Kluyveromyces lactis: one gene and its partners. The protein of the gene in region 1 interacts with the protein of each later gene in a biochemical or structural test. Links are inferred from orthologs where the notes say so. Each region holds a gene or a part of one and is shown in the gene's direction. Other genes may lie near its edges. The genes, in order: SUP35, HSP104 and NAM7.

Region 1 (3,990 bases):
CCAACAACAGCTTCTAGAAGGGCTGTTGGACCAACATCTGGTGATGATGTAGTTGGGGCTCTTTTGAGTGCTTTGGCCGGTGGTAATTCCGACATTTTCAGAGGGGATGCTGATGAAGAAAGTCAGAGACAAGCAACTGATGATGAACAAGAAAACGATGAACAGGAGCAAGCCGCTGCTCTTGCGGCAGCCGAAGAAGCTCTTGCAAATCAATATTCCGAGGAAGAAAAAGAACGTAATGATCAGCAAATAGACGAGGAAACAGCAGAGCAAGGAGAAGACGCTTCTGACGAGTACAACGAAGATTATAACATGCACAATAATGAGGAACAACAAAAGTTGAATAAGACTACTTCCTCCGTTGACAGCGAAAAGGACGTAAACCAAAAGGATAAACTAGCTTACGAGCCCAGCGGTTTCAGATCTCCGGTTCCTGCACCTTTGCAAGTTTCAAACCCAGAATTGAGACTTGATCTACCATTTTCTCCAGAAGTTAACGTTTATGATACTCCCGAACAGTACGTTGTTGTATTGGCATTACCTGGTGCGAACTCGAAGGAGTTTAAAATTGATTTCCATCCTTCATCGCACGAGTTACTGATCAAAGGTGCTGTCGACAACAAGATCGGGATTGATAAAAAGTACGTGAAGATCTCAGAATTGAAATACGGTGATTTTGAAAGATCTGTCAAGTTCCCCGTTTTACCGAGAATTAAAGATGAAGAGATTAAAGCATCGTACTTTAACGGATTGCTTCAAATCAAAGTCCCAAAAATTCCACAAGATGCTAATAAACCACAACCAAAGAAAAGAATTATAATAGAAGATGTACCAGATGAAGAACTTGTGTTTGAGACTGCTCCTCGCAATTTATGAAATCATCCCTGGCTTCACATTGGAAAACTGGTTCAGCCAAACATTTATATGAACAATTGTTATGAATTAAAATAAGATCTCATGTTTAGTAATCGCTTATGTATAATATTAATATTACACGAATACCAGCACCCTCATTTTATACAGTTACATAGAGGAAGAACGGAACGGTTGCACCAGGTTATTGATGCCATATTACGTATTGGGCGCTACAATGGTGTTAGTCTATTTAGGAATATATGCAGTCGTATAAAATTACATCATCGCTAATTGCAAAAAATTTTAAACAGCTTGATAGAGAAGATCGAAAAGTGTAAGAAAGCGTTACTGATGATCATCATGATCCTCCCATCAGCGAATTGCCCTCTATTTGCAAGCTTAAATTGGAACAAGGTACCGGTCTATAGCATCTACTAGTAGACATGTCAGACCAACAAAATCAAGACCAAGGGCAAGGCCAAGGTTACAATCAGTATAACCAATATGGCCAGTACAACCAGTACTACAACCAACAGGGCTATCAAGGCTACAACGGCCAACAAGGTGCTCCTCAAGGCTACCAAGCATATCAAGCTTATGGACAGCAGCCTCAAGGAGCCTACCAGGGCTACAACCCTCAACAAGCTCAAGGCTACCAACCTTACCAGGGCTACAATGCTCAGCAACAAGGTTACAACGCTCAGCAAGGCGGTCACAACAATAACTACAATAAAAATTATAATAATAAAAACAGTTACAATAACTATAATAAGCAGGGTTATCAAGGTGCTCAAGGATATAATGCACAACAGCCAACCGGTTACGCTGCTCCAGCACAGTCTTCATCCCAGGGTATGACTTTGAAAGATTTCCAAAACCAACAAGGCAGTACTAATGCAGCCAAGCCAAAGCCTAAGTTAAAGTTGGCCTCTAGCTCTGGTATTAAGTTAGTAGGTGCCAAGAAACCTGTAGCACCCAAAACTGAGAAAACTGATGAATCCAAGGAAGCAACTAAAACTACCGACGACAACGAAGAAGCACAATCTGAATTGCCCAAAATTGATGATTTGAAAATCTCAGAGGCTGAAAAACCAAAAACTAAGGAGAATACCCCATCTGCTGATGATACTTCCTCAGAGAAGACTACCAGCGCTAAGGCAGACACATCTACAGGAGGAGCGAACTCCGTGGATGCTCTAATCAAGGAACAAGAAGATGAGGTTGACGAAGAAGTCGTTAAAGATATGTTTGGTGGTAAGGATCATGTTTCCATCATTTTCATGGGTCACGTCGATGCTGGTAAGTCAACAATGGGTGGTAACTTGTTATATCTGACTGGTTCTGTGGATAAAAGAACCGTTGAGAAATATGAGAGAGAGGCTAAAGAGGCTGGTAGACAAGGTTGGTATTTATCATGGGTGATGGATACCAACAAAGAAGAAAGAAACGACGGTAAAACCATTGAAGTGGGTAGAGCGTACTTTGAAACTGAAAAGAGACGTTACACTATTTTGGATGCTCCCGGTCACAAAATGTATGTTTCTGAAATGATTGGTGGTGCATCTCAAGCCGATATTGGTATTTTGGTTATTTCTGCTAGAAAGGGTGAATATGAAACTGGTTTCGAAAAGGGTGGTCAAACTCGTGAGCACGCTTTATTAGCCAAGACACAAGGTGTCAACAAAATGATTGTAGTTATCAACAAGATGGATGATCCAACTGTGGGATGGGATAAGGAAAGATATGATCACTGTGTTGGTAACTTGACAAACTTTTTGAAGGCTGTGGGTTACAATGTTAAGGAGGACGTCATTTTCATGCCAGTGTCTGGTTACACAGGTGCAGGTTTGAAGGAACGTGTCGATCCTAAGGACTGTCCATGGTATACTGGTCCATCTTTATTAGAATATCTTGACAATATGAAGACTACTGATCGTCATATCAATGCTCCATTCATGCTTCCAATTGCTTCTAAGATGAAGGACATGGGTACTGTTGTGGAAGGTAAAATCGAATCTGGACACATTAGAAAGGGTAACCAAACTTTACTAATGCCTAACAGGACCTCTGTTGAAATTCTGACCATTTATAACGAAACTGAAAGCGAAGTTGACATGGCTGTTTGTGGTGAGCAGGTTAGATTAAGAATTAAAGGTGTCGAAGAAGAAGAAATTTCTGCTGGTTTCGTTCTAACCTCTCCAAAAAACCCAGTTAAGAATGTAACGAGATTTGTGGCTCAAATTGCTATTGTCGAATTGAAATCGATCATGTCTGCTGGTTTCTCGTGCGTTATGCATATTCATACAGCTATCGAAGAAGTCACCGTCACAAGATTGCTTCACAAGCTTGAGAAGGGGTCAAACAGAAAATCAAAGAAGCCTCCAGCATTTGCTAAAAAGGGTATGAAGATCATTGCCGTTATCGAGACTAATGAACCGGTATGTGTTGAAACATACGATGATTACCCACAATTGGGTAGATTCACTTTAAGAGATCAAGGTACCACCATTGCTATCGGTAAGATTGTGAAAATCCTTGAAAATTGATCTCGGTTTTTATGAATCCATATCACAATGCATATTTACTAGGTGTCTAGTCTAGATTGTATATTTAGTTTTTAATCTTTCAAAAATGTCTATAAGACTTTCAACCCCGTCAAGTACATTGTCATCTATTCCTAATCCTGGGGTAAATTTGGTATGTGCAAAATCTATTATCGACATGCGACTCAATTCTGTCTTTCCTGATATGCTCTCCTTTGACTGTCCATCTTTAATGGACCCTTCCTCATCCGAATCATATGATACATGGGACGGTATTAATTCTTGTTCCTGAGAGAAGTTGATCCACCGAGTAGTATCGCATTCATATATGAATAGAAGGCTACTTGATATCATGCGAACCTCTTCATTCAATAGCGTATTATAGAAAAGCTGAAGCCTTTTTGAAAACATGTGAATCAAATCATTACGATTTTGGAGTGAAAGATTATTATCGCCAAAGTACAAATCAAATGCGTCCGTTACATTCGAAGCTGTCAACTCACGACCGTAATATTTATTGACAAAAATATACCCATCATCTTCCGGTTCATAATACTTCGAGTGTAGTTCTTGGACATTTGTGTTTTTTAAG
Region 2 (4,169 bases), on another chromosome or scaffold:
AGCCAAAAGAAGATAAAAAAACCAAGAAAGAGAAGAAAAAGGCTAAGAAGGAAGAAGAGAAAAAGCAAAAGGAAGATAAGAAGAACAAAAAACATAGTGACAAGAAGAACAAAAAACATGATGATGATGATGAATACTCCGAAGCTGAACCTTCAGTGACTGAAGAAAAACGTGTTGAGACGAGTTTCACCAAGAAACCACATCACACTACCTCTGCTGCATTGAAGGAAGGTTACAAAGAGGTAAAGAACGAAACGGACACTGAATGGAAAACAGATGACGGTCACTACAATGGCACTGAGACTGATCATTCTACTGCCCTAAATGATGCTTATAATTGGAAGAGAACTTCGTCCATAGGCTCCATTATTGCTTTCATGATGTCCTTGTTAATTTGATTCAAAAACGAAAGATCATCACGCACATGAGCTGGAATATCTAGTTATACATATGTAGATCTTACAAGGAAAATAATAATATGTTGCTATCCAAAACTTGACACAATGCCAATGATATTGTCTTAATTAACGTGAATTACAAAACTGACGCCTGACATCGAAACAGAAGTGCGTTCCAAAAACCTAGCGTTAAATTTCAAAATCTATCACGTGATGGTGATCCACTTGTTCCAGTTTTTTTCTTCGGTTTTCTTTGTGGACATGCACTTTCGAGAGTCTTCCAGAAAAATCCGGTAATGTTCTAGCTATCACGGTTCCGGACTCTAGCTTAGAGCAGAGTGAATTTTAAGTAGCTTTACAATCCCCACACAGCTTCTACATTGCCGTAAGCAACATGCTGGGATAGCTGGTTGTTTGATCTAGTATTCAACTAACAATAAGGACGTACTTACAATTTTCTATTTTACGTAGCCATGAACGTCAGTCCCAACGGTAATTTAAAAGCTTAACCTTGAGTGAGTGAATTATTCGAGAATGTACTGGTTTATACTGGAAAAGTAATGTAGTTGTTAGAGCTTTGTTTGTCTGTGAATTGGGCAATACTAAAGCTGGGACTGGTACCGGGAGATAGGGGTTGAGGTATATTTTGCTTTGCTATTAGTTTTCTTAATAAGGTGATTTTAGGGTATCTTTTGATAGATGCTTATAGAAAGAATAGGTGAAAAAAAAAGTTTATAGAATATAAGCGTAGTGAAGAGGTATATAAAGGGAGACCATCCGAAGAATCATTTGTTGAGTGCTTCCTGCTTTGGAATTCAATTACATCAATTGTATCAATAGTGGTCTATCTGATAGAAATAAACAACAATTGTCAGGATCATCAAACGCATCAACAGTTTATTGTCTAGAAAGAAGATATTACTACAATGAACGACGAAACACAATTTACAAATAAGGCCAACGAAATTATCCGTTTGGCCCAGAAATTGGCTCAGGATCACAGACATGCTCAGTTACAACCAATTCACTTACTTGCTGCATTTGTTGAGCCAAACGAGGATGGTTCTGTTGGATTCTTACAAAACTTGGTGGAATTAGCGAAATATGATTATGAACCTTTGAAAAGGGCCATCAACAGAAACCTAGTCAGGACTCCATCTCAGACGCCCGCACCATTAGAAATTCAGCCAAGTTATGCTTTCGGGCAGGTCTTGAAAGATACTTCAGAAATTAGGAAACAGCAAAAAGATTCATTCGTCGGTCAAGATCATATATTGACTGCTTTGTTCAAAGATGCAACAACTCAAAGCATTTTTAAGGAGTGTTCCATTGACATAGAATCTGTGAAGCAGCAGATGCTCGAATTGAGAGGCAATCAACGAATTGATTCAAGAGACGCTGATACAAATGAAAAATGGGAATATTTGAAGAAGTATGCGATCGATATGACTGAACAGGCTAGAGCAGGTAAGTTGGATCCTGTTATCGGTAGAGAAGAAGAAATTAGAACTGCCATCACTGTTCTTGCTAGAAGAATCAAGTCAAATCCATGTTTGATCGGTGAGCCAGGTATTGGTAAGACTGCCATTGTAGAAGGTGTTGCTCAAAGAATTATCGACGATGATGTTCCACAAATTCTACAGGGTTGCAAATTATTTTCTTTGGATCTTGCTGCATTGACGGCTGGTGCCAAATATAAAGGTGATTTCGAGGAAAGATTAAAAGGTGTCTTGAAAGAAATCGAGGAATCAAAGACTTTAATTATATTATTCATCGATGAGATTCATATGTTGATGGGCCAAGGTGTAGATGATTCTGCCAATGCTGCTAATATTTTGAAACCAGCCTTATCTCGTGGTGGCTTGAAGGTAATTGGTGCCACTACCACTAACGAATATAGATCTTTGGTCGAGAAGGATGGTGCTTTCGAAAGAAGATTCCAGAAGATTGATGTCCCTGAACCAACGACAAGGCAAACGGTAGCTATTTTGAGAGGTTTACAGCCAAAGTATGAAATACATCATGGTGTTAGAATTCTAGATAGTGCCCTAGTGTCTGCAGCTCAACTAGCTAAGAGGTACTTGCCATACAGAAGATTACCTGATTCTGCTATTGACTTGGTTGATATTTCATGTGCCGGTGTCGCTGTTGCTCGTGATTCTAAGCCCGAAGAATTAGACAATAAAGAGCGCGAATTGCATTTACTACAGGTTGAAATCAAGGCATTAGAAAGAGATGAAGAAACGGATCCAACGACAAAAGAAAGGCTACAACAAGCCAGACAAAAGGAAGCTTCATTAATTGAGGAATTGGAACCAATGAGACAGCGTTACCAACAGGAAGTGGATTCTCATGAACAACTAAGACAAGCCAAAAAGAAGCTCGATGAATTGGAAAACAAATGCATGGATGCCGAACGTCGTTACGATAATGCTACCGCAGCTGATTTGAAATACTTTGCTATTCCGGATATCAAGAAACGTATTGAGGAATTGGAACAAAAAGTTGCTGAAGAAGAATCCAGGGAAGGTTCTGAAACAATGGTGAAGAACGTGGTTAACAGCGAGGTTATTGCCGAGACTGCCGCTAGAATGACCGGTATTCCAGTGAATAAACTAACTGAATCTGAAAACACAAAGTTGATCCATATGGAACGTGAGTTATCGCAACAAGTTGTGGGTCAAATGGAGGCTGTGAAAGCCGTTTCTAACGCTGTCAGACTTTCTAGATCTGGTTTGTCTAACCCTAATCAACCGGCATCTTTCTTATTCCTAGGTTTATCTGGTTCCGGTAAGACTGAATTAGCTAAGAAAGTCGCATCCTTCTTGTTTAATGATGAAAAAGCTATGGTCAGAATCGATTGTTCAGAATTGATGGAGAAACATTCAGTTTCGAAATTATTAGGTACTACTGCCGGTTACATTGGTTACCAAGAAGGTGGTTTCTTAACTAATCAATTACAGAGAAGACCATACAGTGTGTTGTTATTTGATGAAGTCGAAAAGGCCCACCCTGATGTCTTGACCGTTCTTTTGCAAATGTTAGATGACGGCAGAATCACTAGTGGTCAAGGTAAGACAATTGACTGTTCGAACTGTATTGTAATTATGACTTCTAATTTGGGTGCCCAATTTATCAATGCTCAGACTGGATCAAAGGTTACTGAGGGTTCCAAAGAGTTGGTGATGAGTGCCGTTAAAGCACATTTCAGACCAGAATTCTTGAATAGAATCTCAAGTATCGTGGTATTCAACAAGCTTTCTCACAAGGCCATTCACAAAATTGTTGATATCAGAATCAAAGACTTGGAGAAGCAATTTGCGGATAATGATAAGAATTACAAGATCAACGTTTCACCACCAGCTCGGGATTTCTTGACCAAGAATGGTTACTCGGAGGATATGGGTGCTAGGCCATTGAACAGATTAATTCAAACCGAGATTTTGAACCCAATGGCAATCCATATCTTGAAGGGTGAGATCAAAGACAAAGAAATTGTCAATGTAGAAGTGGGTGCCGATGGATCTCATTTAGAAGTTTTACCAAATCACCCAGCTTCATCAGAAATTGGTGATGAAGACATGGATTTGGACTTGGACGACGATGACGACTTAGACCTAGACTGATCTAAAATGAATTACAAAAAGAAAACATACAAACAAACTCACTCAGTAATAAAATTTCAGTTCAACAGTACCATCATATATAGTGTAAAGTACATATTTTTTTCACTTTCTTTAGTATAATATTTTGACTTTTACATGTTTTCAT
Region 3 (4,150 bases), on another chromosome or scaffold:
CTTGGAGGGAACCCATTCCGTTCGAATATGATGCGTGGAGATACTTCTTTGAAGGGGAAAATTGGATCACCATCAAAGTGTGGTTGTGTGGTATGTTCGAACTGCCACGGGCTAAGGAAACCTAGATCGAAATCGTCCGCTTCTTACAATGGATACAGTTTCTCGCTAGATTCAAACCCAGTCTCAAGGACAAACAGTATAGTCATTCCATTGTCTAAACAACCCACAAGACAGAGCATTGCTTCTTCTGTTGGATGTCTAGATACAAACAATACCATAAATAATAACAGTCTCTCTTTTGGATCCCCAACTAATATCACTGACGAGGGCGCAATAGATCCTAAATCTTCCAATGGATCAAGATCGTCCATTAGCTTATCTACAAATGCCATTCCAACACACTTATACAGCTTGGAGAGATACGTAAGTTCTGAATTGGATTCAGCGACGGAATCCTTCTTTGATAAGTCAAAACAATTGTCAGACGAAGCTTCAACTCATGGAACAGAAGACACCGTCTCTTCATCGTTGGCAAAAATGTCATTACGAACTTCACCTCAAAGTTCAAATAGCACAATTGCCAATCCAAACACCTACACTAATAGAACCATACCAGAAATACCGTCAGGAACTCAATCAATTAACCAATATTCATCTTCACATCCACCACCATTTTTGGACGCAAGAAAAAGAAGAAAGTCTTTCATTGAACAGGCTTTATCAGAGAGTTTCTCATAATAAAATTCACAACCCCAGTCTTCAACCACCCTCAGTTACCCCAATCATAATCATCAGTATACCCTCATGCATCAAATATATAAACGTAATAGGACATAGACTGTCACCTAATCACTATTTAATTACCCGACTTTTGCATGCATTTGCTGATTCTTTTTTTTTTTTTTCAGTTTGTGTACTTCACATCTCATCTCACATCTCATCAGAAAATGCATCAACTTCCATACATAAAAGTATTTAATCATAATATGCTTCAACAGTTATTATTTCCTATATCACTTTATCTGTATTTTCAAGAAGTTCTGTAAATTGAGCATCTATCAATGTGCTGAGTAACATATTTTGATTTGTGACTCTGACTCATTTCTTGCGAACTTTTTTTTTTGGTTAGTTCGATCTATTCTGTTCAAAGCTATTCTTTGAAGTAGATTGTACACGACTGGTGCCTTTATTATCTCAGTACAATTAGAATCAAGTTTCCTTATGACGATGCGTTTGCCAAATGAACCGTTTGATTCAGATTCGGACTCAAACGAATCTGTTTCTTTGAGAGACGATGACGACAAAAACTTTTTCTACGATACTGATGAGATGCTGGACGAGGAATACTCTGAGTTCCACGGCACTGCTGCTAATACAGATCCTATTGCGGAACATGCTTGTGCATATTGTGGTATTGATAATACTTCATGTGTTGTCAAGTGTAACATTTGCAGCAAATGGTTTTGTAATTCGAAAAATGGTACTAATAGTTCCCATATTGTGAACCATTTAGTTTTATCCCATCATTCTTCAGTTTCATTACATCCAGACTCAGAGCTAGGAGATACTACTTTGGAATGCTACAATTGTGGACGTACTAATGTGTTTGTTCTTGGTTTTGTTCCGGCTAAGAGTGAGGCTGTTGTGGTCTTGTTGTGCAGATTGCCTTGTGCTAAAATGAAGAATGTTAATTGGGATACAGATAACTGGCAACCACTTATTGAAGAAAGGAAGATGCTATCTTGGGTGGCAGAAGAACCAAGTGAAGAAGATCAGTTGAAGGCCAGGATGATTACTCCATCTCAAATTACGAAATTGGAAGCAAGATGGAAATCAAACAAAAACGCTACAATTATGGATATTGATATGGTCGAACAAGATGAAGATATTCCTCCGACTTTGATGAGATACACTGATGCTTATCAGTACCAAAGATCATTTGGTCCTTTGATTCAGTTAGAAGCAGATTATGATAAGCAATTAAAGGAATCACAGGCCTTAGAACACATCTCTGTCACATGGGATTTAGCATTGAACAACAGACATCTAGCTACTTTTGCATTATCCACATTCGAATCTAACGAATTAAAAGTTGCCGTTGGTGATGAGATGATTTTAAAGTATAGTGGTCCACAACATGCAGATTGGACAGGAAAAGGTTTCATCATCCAGCTACCAAACAGTTTCAAAGATGAATTTACTCTTGAATTGAAACCAAGTCAAAAAACTCCACCAACTAATTGTACTACAGGATTTACAGCAGTTTTTGTATGGAGGGGAACTTCTTATATTAGAATGCAAGAAGCGTTAAGAAAATTTGCTGTCACCAAAAAATCATTATCAGGGTTCTTGTATTATAAGATATTGGGCCAAGAGGTTCCAGATGTGGAATTTGATGTAGAATTACCCAAAAGCATTTTTGTGCCTCACTTCACCGAGTTAAACCAATCTCAAAGTAATGCTGTGAAGCATGTTTTACAAAGACCTTTATCATTGATCCAGGGACCTCCTGGTACCGGTAAAACCGTCACTTCAGCTACCATTGTTTATCATTTGTCTAAAATCCACAAACAGCGTGTTTTAGTTTGTGCACCATCTAACGTTGCAGTGGATCATCTTGCTGCCAAGTTGCACAGTATGGGTTTAAAGGTAGTACGATTAACTGCTAAAAGTAGAGAAGATGTGGAGAGCTCAGTGTCCGAGTTAGCATTGCATAACTTGGTCAGCAGGTCTGCAGAAGGTAAACTCAAAAAACTTCTCAATCTTAAGGAAAAAACAGGGGAACTTTCCTCATCGGATACCACGAAATTTGTGAAGTTAGTGAGAAAATCAGAAGCTACCATCATTCAAAAAGCTGATGTTATTTGCTGTACTTGCGTCGGCGCTGGTGATAAAAGATTGGACTATAAGTTCCGCACAGTATTGATCGATGAAAGTACTCAAGCGTCAGAACCTGAATGTTTGATCCCTATCGTCAAGGGAGCCAAACAAGTTGTTCTAGTTGGTGATCATCAGCAACTTGGTCCTGTCATTTTAGATAGAAAAGCTGGTGACGCTGGTTTGAAACAATCTTTGTTTGAAAGATTAATTTCCTTGGGTCACATTCCTATTAGATTGGAAGTCCAATATAGAATGAATCCACAATTAAGCGAATTCCCAAGCAACATGTTCTACGAAGGTAGTTTACAGAATGGTGTCACCATCGAGCAACGTACTATTGCAAGATCTACCTTTCCATGGCCAATTCATACTATCCCTATGATGTTTTGGGCTAACTATGGTCGTGAAGAGATCTCAGGCAATGGTACTTCCTACTTGAACAGAATTGAAGCCATGAACTGTGAAAAGATCATTACAAGACTATTCAAAGATGGTGTCAAACCAGAACAGATTGGTGTTATAACTCCTTATGAGGGGCAGAGAGCATATGTTGTACAATATATGCAAATGAATGGTTCGATGGAAAAATCATTGTACATGGGCGTTGAAGTGGCATCAGTAGATGCTTTCCAAGGTAGAGAAAAAGACTATATTATTTTGTCTTGTGTCCGTGCCAATGAGAGAAACACCATTGGTTTCTTGAGTGACCCACGTCGTCTAAATGTTGCGTTGACTCGTGCTAAATACGGTCTAATAATATTGGGTAACCCAAGGGCACTATCTCGCAATAGCTTATGGAGTCATCTACTACTTCATTTCAGAGAAAAGGGTTGTCTTGTTGAAGGGTTTTTGGATAATTTACAACTCTGCACAGTCCAATTGACGAAACCTTCTAGGGCACCCAGGAAAGCCCCATCCAACAACAGTAGTTATACACAATATGCTGGTCAGAGAGACTTTGACACTCAAAGTTTGGTCTCATTCGGTGGCCAAAACGTCGTTGAAAAATCTTTTATTCCAAACACGGACTTGTCTTCGTTATTGAACCAACAATATTGGAATGGACAGTCTTTTGATACACAATCGCGCTTAAGTGCTACGCATCCTGTTAACCAATACGATAAAGACGCGGTCAATTTTGATGGAAGTTTATCCAATGGCTTAAGGAAGTACAATGGAGTGGGCTCAAAGTATCAAACCATTGATGAAGAATCAACGTTAAACATACTCAAGAGTTTGGACATCAATTGAACATGAACGCGTATCAATC

Evidence for each region.
Region 2: the proteins of SUP35 (region 1) and HSP104 form a complex in vitro, tested with the Saccharomyces cerevisiae proteins (7 studies listed by BioGRID, with this or other methods). The link is inferred for Kluyveromyces lactis from reciprocal best matches to the Saccharomyces cerevisiae genes SUP35 and HSP104.
Region 3: the proteins of SUP35 (region 1) and NAM7 form a complex in vitro, tested with the Saccharomyces cerevisiae proteins (2 studies listed by BioGRID). The link is inferred for Kluyveromyces lactis from reciprocal best matches to the Saccharomyces cerevisiae genes SUP35 and NAM7.

What each region holds. Positions count from the first base shown.
Region 1 is NC_006040.1:1,486,366-1,490,355, reverse strand, and holds SUP35 (translation termination factor GTPase eRF3), read left to right. Parts: upstream 1-1,298; coding exon 1,299-3,401; downstream 3,402-3,990. Other genes in the region: heat shock protein HSP42, read left to right, coding at 1-876; ARG82 (inositol polyphosphate multikinase), read right to left, coding at 3,453-3,990. UniProt on the Saccharomyces cerevisiae protein: GTPase component of the eRF1-eRF3-GTP ternary complex, a ternary complex that mediates translation termination in response to the termination codons UAA, UAG and UGA.
Region 2 is NC_006042.1:1,666,958-1,671,126, forward strand, and holds HSP104 (chaperone ATPase HSP104), read left to right. Parts: upstream 1-1,324; coding exon 1,325-4,024; downstream 4,025-4,169. UniProt on the Saccharomyces cerevisiae protein: Required, in concert with Hsp40 (YDJ1) and Hsp70 (SSA1) and small Hsps (HSP26), for the dissociation, resolubilization and refolding of aggregates of damaged proteins after heat or other environmental stresses.
Region 3 is NC_006038.1:566,687-570,836, forward strand, and holds NAM7 (ATP-dependent RNA helicase NAM7), read left to right. Parts: upstream 1-1,221; coding exon 1,222-4,131; downstream 4,132-4,150. Other genes in the region: MBR1 (Mbr1p), read left to right, coding at 1-738. UniProt on the Saccharomyces cerevisiae protein: RNA-dependent helicase required for nonsense-mediated decay (NMD) of aberrant mRNAs containing premature stop codons and modulates the expression level of normal mRNAs. Also capable of unwinding double-stranded DNA and translocating on single-stranded DNA.